Linked DNA regions of Arabidopsis thaliana. The protein of the gene in region 2 interacts with the protein of the main gene of each other region in a biochemical or structural test. Each region holds a gene or a part of one and is shown on either strand. Other genes may lie near its edges.

Evidence for each region. Proteins that work in one complex are often made in the same cells at the same time.
Region 1: the proteins of AT1G30580 (region 2) and AT4G25030 form a complex in vitro, tested with the Arabidopsis thaliana proteins (one study listed by BioGRID).

Annotation. Positions count from the first base shown.
Region 1 is NC_003075.7:12,862,503-12,867,360, reverse strand, and holds AT4G25030 (Serine/Threonine-kinase), read right to left. Parts: upstream 2,910-4,858; 5' UTR 2,591-2,909; exon of another isoform or gene 2,332-2,590; intron 2,055-2,331; 5' UTR 2,026-2,054; coding exon 1,900-2,025; intron 1,825-1,899; coding exon 1,558-1,824; intron 1,365-1,557; coding exon 723-1,364; 3' UTR 534-722; downstream 1-533.
Region 2 is NC_003070.9:10,831,161-10,837,661, forward strand, and holds AT1G30580 (GTP binding protein), read right to left. Parts: upstream 4,476-6,501; 5' UTR 4,295-4,475; coding exon 4,208-4,294; intron 3,875-4,207; coding exon 3,707-3,874; intron 3,604-3,706; coding exon 3,480-3,603; intron 3,153-3,479; coding exon 3,061-3,152; intron 2,900-3,060; coding exon 2,801-2,899; intron 2,702-2,800; coding exon 2,588-2,701; intron 2,270-2,587; coding exon 2,205-2,269; intron 2,046-2,204; coding exon 1,929-2,045; intron 1,822-1,928; coding exon 1,746-1,821; intron 1,552-1,745; coding exon 1,459-1,551; intron 1,139-1,458; coding exon 1,088-1,138; intron 892-1,087; coding exon 793-891; 3' UTR 513-792; downstream 1-512. Other genes in the region: HERK2 (hercules receptor kinase 2), read left to right, coding at 1-322; AT1G30590 (RNA polymerase I specific transcription initiation factor RRN3 protein), read right to left, coding at 4,816-5,080, 5,350-5,534, 5,647-5,760, 5,948-6,035, 6,129-6,212, 6,322-6,428. UniProt on the Arabidopsis thaliana protein: Hydrolyzes ATP, and can also hydrolyze GTP with lower efficiency. Has lower affinity for GTP. Exhibits GTPase activity.

The DNA of each region.
Region 1 (4,858 bases), on a different chromosome or scaffold from region 2:
AAAAGCACACGTACTGTTATAAGCAATACATGCAAGCATTGTATGACATCTTTCTATGAGACTAGCAAAATTGTAAGAGTTGACGTAATCCAAATATACAATTTTTTTTGTATTTTTAATAAAATCCATTTGTTTCAAAAAAAAAAAAAAAAAATTTAAGAAGGAGATTTGATGATAATAGAGGTTATGAGAGTAAACTTAAGTTTAATGTTCCATAATCACTTATCTTTAAAAAGAAAAGTTTAAGAAACTCTTGTAAGTGATTTCTCTTCTATCTAGTGGCCTGCCTTTTAAGAAAATCTTTTAGACTAGTTCTGCAAACTTCAGAGTAGGTTTACCAATTTTGGAGTAGGTTTAGCAAGGATGCAAGAGTGGACCCAAACAAGTGATCACGAAATGCAATGTTTAATCACTACACCATCAACCACTCTATAACTGATGTTTTGCAACCACGATATCATAAGCACTATTGAACGACTCATTTAACATTGTTCATATTTGAAAACTTGCCTATGAGATGCATAAACACCAAATTTCCAACTTCTCTTTCCTTTTATTCAATCAAACAAGTCTTTTACATTAAAATACAATTAACAGTTTAAAAAATGGCTTTATTCTTGTTTTTCTCAAACATTAAGAAACTTTTTAAATACAATCAGCCGAAAAAAATACAAGAAAAACAATTATATATATAAATCCTCGAAGAGAATTACAAAATCCTTTTAGCAGACAACAGTAGCTGCTCCGGAAGACACAGGGCTTGCAACATCAAGCATCATGGGATTCCACTTCATCACCACTTTATCACCGCATCTTCCATCTGATGAAACTCCGGCAAATTGCATCTGATCTGCTTCAACAGAAGACGGATTTGGTACCTCCAATGTCAACTTCTTCTCAGCTACAGACTTGAGTCTCCGCCTCTCTGCTCTTGACCCAATCACCTGTCCCAAAACTGATGCTGCTATGGTGAATACCATAGCTGTTTTAGGCATCAACACTGACTTTCTCAGTATTCCTATGAATGGAACCGCTGCGTGAAGAGCTATAAACCAAGATGCCGAAAACTTTTCAGTGTGCTCTCTCCAGACCCCTAAAGGCACATTTAACGCCATGCCCAGCATCCCGATCACTAGTACTTTAGCTGGTAAAGGTTGTGGACGGAGGTTCTTGGCGAAAGGTGTTTTTGATATCGCTGCTCGAGCTGTGACTATTGCTTGAGGGCATTTAAATTTCATGCCTGGAGGGGGTTGCAGGATCTTTGCCACAAGTGGTGCCACACCACTTACAGCTCGATATGATTTTGCTATTGGGCAGTTTCCTGTTTTAAGCCATTCGTCGCCCATGGCTTCGTGGTTTCCTCCCTGAAAGAGAAACAACAATTAAGCGGTGCTCTAAGAGAAAAGAAATATCATGATTTTCTATCTCATAAGCCAACACATTGCATACTACTTAAGCAATCTTAGAAGCTTAACTATTTCCTTAGACACATTTCTTTACCTATGCACATCAGTTTTAAAAGATAAATGTTGAGCAAGAAACTCATAAAACCTTTACCTTATTTTTGGATGAATCTGACTTCTTCTTTTGATTTTTAAACATGTCAGAAAATGCATCAAATCCAAAAGGCCCTCCAGATCCAAAGGATGAGAGACTAATAGTGGCCGCCTTAGCAGCAAGTGGATGGAATACAGGCACAGGCTTCTGGGCTTCAGTTCGAGCGGTGTCAGAGAGAGGGACAACTCCATCTTGGCCATGGAAAAGCCTAAACGCCGTATCAAAATTGGGACCATCTTCAAATATAGGTCCTTTCCCAGCTCTTGCCTATATATATGATGAGACAAGATCAGAATCTATAAGAAATGTCAATATGGAGTGAACCAACAGACGGTTACTTACAGGGATGGGAAAAGGCAAGGATGAAGAGAAAGAGAGGTTAGTGGGCTCATTGATGTTCCTCAAGAACGGGCATCGGAGAATGTTCAACTGAGAAGCCATGGGATTTTCTCCAGTACAATTATCCATTCTTGTTGAGCTGAAAAAAGGACAAGAATCTGAACAAAAACAAACAAAGGAACCATATAAGTAATCGAGACGCAGAGAATGCTCGAAAGTTAAATGAGTTATGCAATTTATATGGACAATAGTAGTTACATGCTAAAGAAACATCATCTAAGCTTTGATATACTAAGATAATACCAAAATCTAATTCCAGATCATAGAACCTCAAAGACATTAACAATCGCATATAATTGAATCAAAAGAAATCATTTTTGAGTCATTCTACTCTAGGATTCACACAGAAACTTGCAAAAATCCTCAATAGTTCACCAAAATTAAGAAGAAGCCCAAATTGAAAGCAATCGTGTGGTCGGCACGGGGGTTCATCAAAAGACTCGGACTTTTGAATTACAAAATTCCAAATCAGTAAATATAAGAGTCTAAGAGCACTAGTGATTCAAAGGGAGCTTGACGAGCATCTAAACGACTAAACCCAAACCAGATCTAGCATAAACGATCAAATGCGAGTTCACAAGCACAAATATGGGCAAAAGGGTACATCAATAGAGAAAAGAGAAACAAAACTTACGGATAAGAGATGAGAGGCGTGTGTGAGGAACGATACAATTCCTTTCGGAGATGAAATGAAATATGCTTAAAGGAGAAAAGGTGGATGAGAGGTTAGGTGGTAGTAACGTGGAGAAGATAGATAGAGAATAGAGAGAGATGGCGTTTGATTATTATTTAAGAACAAACCAAAGATAGATAGCTGGTGATAAAACTCTGTACCTGCTTCTTCTTCGTGCTGACCACGCGCTCTCTCTCACAGCCCCACTTGTTTGACAAATCGCACATTATTATTGCAATATGCATGCCTTCTTTGAATTTTTATTCTCAATTTCCCAACCCCATTTTGTCAACATTTTACTTTTCTTTCTGTGTGTTTTTTCTCCTACAAAAATTAGGCCACCAACTTCTCTCTCTCATTCCGTCGTGTTTCCTCCTCGTTGACCGGCGGACCCAGGAAAGATTTTTACCTGAGTCAATAGTTTTTTCGTTTAATATATAAAAAGAAATTTTTTACGAAAAAGTACATAGGGAAGGATTGAACTTGGATAATGGGGGTGTCAATGACACATGATAAACCAACTTAGCTATTATCTCTTTAACAAATTTCATGCATTAAACTTTATTTGTAGATTTAAGGTGTGTCAACTGACCCACCTTTTCTCTTAATGGGTCCGCTTTGACCCTCATATTCCGGTTTTCATGTTGAAAGATTGGATTATGACTAATTTGGTTATTAATTTGTCAAGGGGATGATGGGAAAGTAGGGGTGGGCATTTTAACCGAACCGACCCAACCCAACCGAACTCAAACCGACCCAAACCAAACCCAATCTAAGACTCAAACTATTCGATTGTATTTTATCTCAATCCAAATGGGTCGGTTCGGTTACTAAAAAGGTTTAACTGTGTTTATCTTCAGTACATGTATTCCTCCGCCGCCAACAACTATATTGCTTAAAAACATCAAACTAATTTAAAAACCTAATAATTATTTTTGTCTACAATTATTAAAAATAAATAAACAAAAACAAAGAAACTATATTAACAAAAAAAAAGACTAAAAATAAGCAAAACATAAGCAAAAAGTTAATTATCTTTTAGATAAGAATTACATATTAAATCTCCACATTAAACGAAAGTTGAAAAAAAAAAAAAAATAAGAAAGAGAAAATGAACAAAAGAATGTATGAGGTAAAGACTAGAGCGACACCTCCTTTGAGAATGAGAAGATGATCAAGAAGTTTAAGAGTGAGACACCTGAAGAGACCCAAAAGAAATGCCTTCTCCGGGTATTTTTGTGCCTTTATTATTTTTACCTTATACTTGTAGTATGAAATGCTATCTTTTGCTAGTTATCTTAGTTGTTTTCCTCCTCCTTTAGCTTGTTTGTCATCTACTCTTGTTCTTGACGAATATTTATTTTTGTATTAGTGTTAAGCTTTGTTTCTAAGATGCCAAAACAGATCTCGCCATACTGCAAACTTGTTAAATCGGACTTTATGAAGTTTCATATATAGATGTACATGGTAGTGGAAAATTCAAGGATTTATATGTGAGACTCAAACCCTATTCCCACCTATCCATAATTGAACAGATGTCCAATAACATCCTAAATTGCAAGACAAACCCTAATCCTAAAAGGAAGAAAATATTCTGAACCTAAATTCCATATACCCACCCGCTAAATTGTTTTGTACGTAATCTGCTTTTTACTACAAAAACCAGTCTTTTGGTCTCTAATTGGTCAACAACACAAAACTTTTTCCCATTGTTTATTTTTATTTCATTTGTCGCCAAGTTTTAATCATCATTTCAAAATATATTGGTTATTTTGAATCGTTTTTCTTTGATTAGTTTTACACGAAAACTGTAGATCGCAAATTTGATTCAAACTAATTTCAACGTAAATTTTATGTATGATTTGTTTTACTGCCTATCTTTAGTTTTTAAAGTTCTTTACTTATATACCAATAATGAGATTTAAGTACACATCAAAAATTAGCATACACAATATACTTTCAAATATGTTATTTTTAATGCATTGTGTAGTAGTGAGTAATGTAATAAGTTTTAAGGAAAATTTAGTGATGAGACTTTAGTTGATAGTTTCTATCAGTTACTATATAAACGACATGTTGCATTGCAGCGGCAGCACCTGTAACCTCTAGTGTATTTTCTCCATTGACTTTAAAGTTCAAACAAGTATATACATATGCATATGAAGTAAAAAGTATTTTCATATCCTTAAAATCTGTTAAGTATATTTTCATACGCGAATAAATTATAGG
Region 2 (6,501 bases):
AAACCTCGAGTCCATCATCGACTCAAATCTGAGGGGAAACTACAGTCCTGAATCGTTGGAGAAGTATGGGGAGATAGCAGAGAAGTGCTTAGCGGATGAAGGGAAGAACAGGCCAATGATGGGAGAAGTGTTATGGAGCTTGGAGTATGTTTTGCAGATTCATGAAGCTTGGCTTCGCAAACAGAATGGAGAAAACTCGTTTTCGAGCAGCCAAGCGGTAGAAGAAGCACCAGAGAGCTTTACTCTTCCAGCTTGTTCCAATCAAGATTCCTCAGAAACTGAGCAGAGCCAAACAGGATCTGCTCTTCACAATTCGGCTTAGAGGAAGCAATTGGATTGGCCAGTCCCAAAATAATTCTTTTGTTCTTTTGTTATAATTGATTGTGATCTATCCAGAAGCTCTTTTGTAATAGAGCTTGTAATATACACTGCAAATATAATTTCCTTAAGGTATTCGTTTAATCATTCTTTCCATTTGTTTCCTTCGCTAATAAGTGCACCAGAAGTTGTTTGCTGGGTTTCTTCAACTCATTCTCACGCACAATTACTCAAGGTTCTTTCCAAATAGTAGAGAAAAACTTATTGAAAGAGTTCTAAACGATACAGCAGGCTTAATGCTCTGTCTAAAGGCAAAGACATGTCTTAGCTAACTGCAAAATGTAAAGAGTTACAAATACTTGTTTGGTAAAGCCACTCAAAAACGGAAAATACAGCTTGGTTCCTTTCTCGGAAATGGATAGAGCTTCAAGATCCAGAGAGGACACCGCGGATAGGTGGACAGACGGATGGATCTCATTTCTTCCCACCACCGGAAACATTGAACTTGAAGAAAATGATATCTCCATCCTGAACAACATATGTTTTACCCTCCTGTCTGTATTTTCCTGCGGCCTGCATTAGTTGAAGGGATTATAAATTAGACCAAGTGTCATCGCCATGAACATTATAAATATAATCATGCCTCTTCAACGAGGATATCTTGCACAGTGGAGAGCTTCCTTAACATTTTCATGTCTGTTTTTAGAGGCTACTTACTCCACCGAGACCTTAAGAGATTGTAGAAGGAAAAGAAGTTATAGACAAATACCTTGACTGCAGGTTCATTGCCAAGTTCCTTGAGATCCTCGAATTTCATGACCTGTGACATCAACAACAACATTGGAATAAATCACATTGAATTTCAAAACAGAAAAATATTTGATTAGATATGGTTTGCATTAGGATTCTGCTTTGATATCTACAGGCCTGCATCGATACTAGGAAATCAACACCAAGATGAATATAAGAATATGCAAGCAAGCATTTGTTTTTGTCAGTGAAAACATAAGAAAGATTATATAAACTCTATAACAGAACAAATCATCAAAATCTGGAGGGGAAAGGCTTTACGCATGTAAATTTTAGGTAGGAATAAACTAGTGAATTGACCAAGATTCAAGAGAAATGAGAAAATGGTACCTCAGCACAAATAAATCCTCTCTCAAAATCAGTATGAATGGCCCCTGCAGCTTGAGGAGCCTTTGACTGCCGTCTTATTTGCCAGCACTTCACCTGCAAATCAAAGTATCATTGATGGATGTATTTTATAAACCATCAAATTCCAGTAACAATGCACTACTTGACACATAACACTGATCATGCACTACCAAATAGCTCATTACAGAACAATTATGCTTAGAAGAATTTCACAGAGAACTAGAGACTAAAGCGTGTAGTGAAGCCAAGTAAAGTGGGACTGTTAATACCTCATCAGGCCCTGCTGTAAAGAAGTATATGAGGTTAATTGCTGAAAATCCAGTTTTGATGATCCTCGGAAGAGCACTGTCAAAGCAGCAATGGCCATAAGATTCAATTTAACAGATTCATAAAGAAAAATCATCTTCAGGAGCAACTATTCATTCGCAAGGTGCTGTTCTTTTATTCCTAACCTTTGCAGTTTGTTCTCCTCACAATACTTTGCTGCTTCATCTGGGGCCATATCAGCGAGACTCCTTTCAAACACACCACTGAAAGGAATCATAGTATCACCACCGTGTTCTTGAACCCTACATAATGATGAAACAGATATTTTTAGTTTAGGAGAAGTATAATAAGGTAAGTAAATGTGTAAGCACGTAGCCATATTAGAAACTTTTGCAACAACCAAGGGGCAAAATGTTTTACTTATTATTCAACATAGTTTGTGAAAGGATATATATTAGTACCAGGCATGAATCTTTGGCAAGAACTTGTTTTTCTTCCTCTGATAGTCTCTCTCATTCAGGTTAATCTGTAATTTAAATTTCAGAGTAACCAGTGATCACAAAAAGTCCAACCAAGATGCCTTAATAGTTCTTACACTGAGATGAAACACATAGTTGAAACAAACATGAAAGCATAGAGATCAGAAATAGCTAAGGAACACACTATGGTTAAATTTGGGGGCAAATAGTGTCACAAAAATAGACAGTATGACCTACATTTTGCAAACTGACCCGAAAAAAATTGAGGGAACAAAATTGTCGACTATAGATATGAAAGAAGCAAATGCATTTATCTTGATAGAAACAATGGTAACAGAAAGAGATGAACATTCAAGACTACTCACCAAGTAAACAACGGGCTTTGCAGAAAGCAATTGGAAAGTGTTCAAAATCTCGATATCAGCTGTTTTCCAGTCCCCAAAACGGACATCCTTACCATCTTCTAGCCAAGCTTTTACCTAAACCAGAGAGGTACAGTCATTTTTTCGGCCAATTAATAATTAATGAGCAATAACATTTGCAGAACAAGACTGCATGGTTGTCAAATTATAGCATACCTTTTGCAAGAGCTCAAGTTCTATTTTCAGCTGCTTGTCATTGCTCCTCTTCATGCTCTTCTCGACATCATCAATCTTCTTTCCAACAAATTCAATATCCTAAAGTTGCACCAAAGAATTCAGTTTGAAACCAAAACAACAATGGATGAAATGAAGATCCAACTAATACAAAAAACAGACTACTGTATTAATATACACAGAAAGGATTTCACGAGTTTGGAGATATAGCAGTCAAATATCTGTTTAGAGATTTGATTCACCTTTAGCCGCAACTCTTCAGTAATGGTCTCCAAATCTCTAACAGGATCCACGATATCGTCGACATGGATAATATCAGCATCTTCAAAAGCACCTGCATATGTTCAATCGAAAAGTCACTAACCACTATATAACTGGCAAGATATCTTACTATCAGCAACTATTAAAGAAACATCCCCGTTGTTCAAGAACAGATATGCTTGGAGAGGAAAACATAAACTAACTATCGCAATGGCCCTATAGGTATCAAATGGGAAGAAAAATATATAAAGGTTTTTAACCTGTCTCTCATTGAAAAGCCTGCTCAAGTAGAAATTCAAGACAGCACAAGTAGCAGTACAGTCTAAATTATTCATCAAATCACGCATCACACTAAAACAAAGCTGGCACTAGGAGAAAAAGCGAGAGGGAAAAACCATACGTAAAACATGGAAAATTCCATCAACTGCACGAATATGGGACAAGAAGTTGTTTCCAAGACCCTGTCCTTCATGAGCTCCTCTAACAAGCCCAGCAATGTCATGAATTTCCAAGAAAGCTGGAATCTGAGGCATCAAAACAGACAGAAGTCAGCCCATTCATAAAGTAATTCAGATAGTAGTAATCTCTTCCTTAACAGCAAGTCATGAAATAAAGTTACAAACTTACCTCACTCTTAGGCTTGTAAGTTTGGCAAAGCCAATCGAACCTCTCATCGGGGATATTCACACGTGCCTCATTAGGCTCAATGGTACAAAAGGGGAAATTCTCAGCTGGAATTGAAAGCTTTGTAAGAGTGTTGAAAAGAGTAGATTTTCCAACATTTGGTAACCCAACCTGCGATGCCACAAACAATTCCCATAGTGAATAACATCAATACTTCTCCATATCATCATATCAACCATGAACAATCAACCTTAATCACTGTATCAAAGAAGCAGTTTCTTAAATATGGATTAAACATCTAAAAGAGTACAGTGACAAACACAACGAAACAAACAATATCATCATGCATCACTGATGAGTTAATAGATCTCTCCCGGCAAAACTCAGAAGAAGAAAAAAAAAAAAAACTTTTATCGAGGAAAGTATTGCGATGAGCAAATCTACCATTCACCATTCGAAATTAATCAACTTGGATTCTAAAAGAGAGATGAAGAGAAAAATTACAATTCCGATCTTGAGGTGAGAAGAGAAACGGCCAAGAATAGGCCTCTCTACGGGACCTGCATCTTTAGCTTTGGCTTTCGGAGGCATCTTTCTCAAAGTCTCGAGCTTGAAAGTGAAGCGAAGCTCTAAGATATTCTAGGGTTTTTGCTGATTAACAAAGCCTAGCAGAAGAAGCTACAAGACGCCGACGCCGAGGTTAAAGAGAGATTGCTCAGCTGGTTTACGGACCGGTTTAAATCGGAGGGTCAATTCCCGGTTTACTTTTAACCATTTGCGGGACATTTACCAAAATACAAAGAGCTATTTTTAACCAATTTTGTGGACAAAGTAAACCCAATATTGAACACTAAACCGAGAAATCAATCATTCAGCATTTCAACTTAACCAAATTAAACCGAAACTCAAATTAGGTAATCATAAACCAACTGACTAAATTTTACTTCATAGATGTTCTTCAAAATTTTGCTACAAAACCACATGCGATCAGATAATACCACAGACTCGCACAAAACTCATGTCAACTTCTTTTTTTTAGAGTTTACGCACTAGCTAAGAGATTGTAATAAGAAACCTACATTGCAAAATTGCATTCCCTCTCTCTATGACTATTAGATTAAGAAGGATTCAGGAGGACTAGTGGATGGTCTGATTCTTGAAGGCATCTTCAAGAGCCTCTCTGTTTCTCGCATGAAAGAGTGTTTCGGAGTTGTAGACATCGTGTTCATCTCACTATCAAGTTCAACGTCATCGTCAGGTTCCTCCGCACTGTCTGCATCTCCATTCACTATGACCTCATCACAAAGCTCTTCGTCACCATCTTCTCCATAAGTCGTTTTCACCATTGACCAGAAGTTGAAGTTCGGGGAGATGTAGCTTCAAGAATTGACAAGAAAACACGTGTGAGAAAGAGAGTTCAAGCCTATCCAATGCAAATACTTTGATTCATCACTTGTTTTATCATATTAAAATAATTTTCAATGTCATTTCAAGACTGTAATTAAGATGTATGCAGTAGAATTTGTATCAAATATGCCCAGGTCGGGTAAATTCATCCAGTGAGTCAAGAACCTTGTGTAAGATTCTCACATTGATTTGTCCTTACTTTGGAAGAGAAAAAATAATCAAGAGTAAAGATAGCAAACCTGCTAGACATTTTCAACAAGCACGGGTCAAACGGGAAGAATGTGTCAAGCCTTTCAAAGCCACCAAAAGCACGAGAGAGCTCAGACTCGTGTAGGTCATCGAAAATGAAGGATTCTGAGACAATGAACAGACCACCAGCTTTGGCTTGTTTAAGGAACTCGGAAACTACAGATGGAAGACACACCTGTTCACACAAAATGAATGGTGCAAGCATAATGCATTTGATACTTGGAGTGAAGACTACTTAAAATAACAGTTGAGCTATGAGAAGAAAATGATTAGTGTAAGTCACCCACCAGTAGTGGGTTTAGTTTGTGAGATAAAATTGACTCCAATGATCTAAACTGCGATTGAAAGCGAGGAATCTCCACTATGGATCTCATTCGGAAGCATAGCACATACAAGATTGCCTACAGTCATAGAAAAGTAACAACTTTAAGCGATACATGACATAATAGCATATGATCCCAAACGCCAATAAGCTTCTGGTAAGGGTGTGAACATTAACAATGATTGATAACTAGAGACGTCAATGATTTCACAGAAGAGTTCTTAAGGAATCAAAAGCCATAAGATGGTCTTAAACTTGGACTATACCTGACATCCAGAATAGAACACTTGATGTGCTTCTGGCTTCACATCATCATTGCATGTTCCGCAATATTCCGCACACTCGTCCACCAATCTAGGATTTCAGCAAAAGAGAAACTATGTTACAACAAAGCGAGACTTAAATCAGATCAAACAATTACATTTTCCATTTTTTAGCAATACGTACCTTTTCAACATGCTAGCCACAAAAGAAGCAGGCAAAAACTTTCCACGAGACAAATAGCTAGCTAGATAAGCCACTGCACTCATCCTGTTAAGTATAAAGAGAAAACAAAAGAATACACAAGTGGTGATTAGAACAATATTAGCTTCATATCATGCAGAGAAATCTTTACCAAGAAGGACAAGATTAAACTCGCCTAGTAAGTCGACATGTGTTGCTGGAGAGATATATGTCCAACAGCTTACTGGCAAATCTCACACCACAATTTTCAGGATCTAGTGAGCATGCATAGAACATCAGAAACTGCAGATGAAAGTAGAGTGAGTCTAAGCCAAGACATCACATGCCGATAATGAACTAATGCTAGAAGCCTACA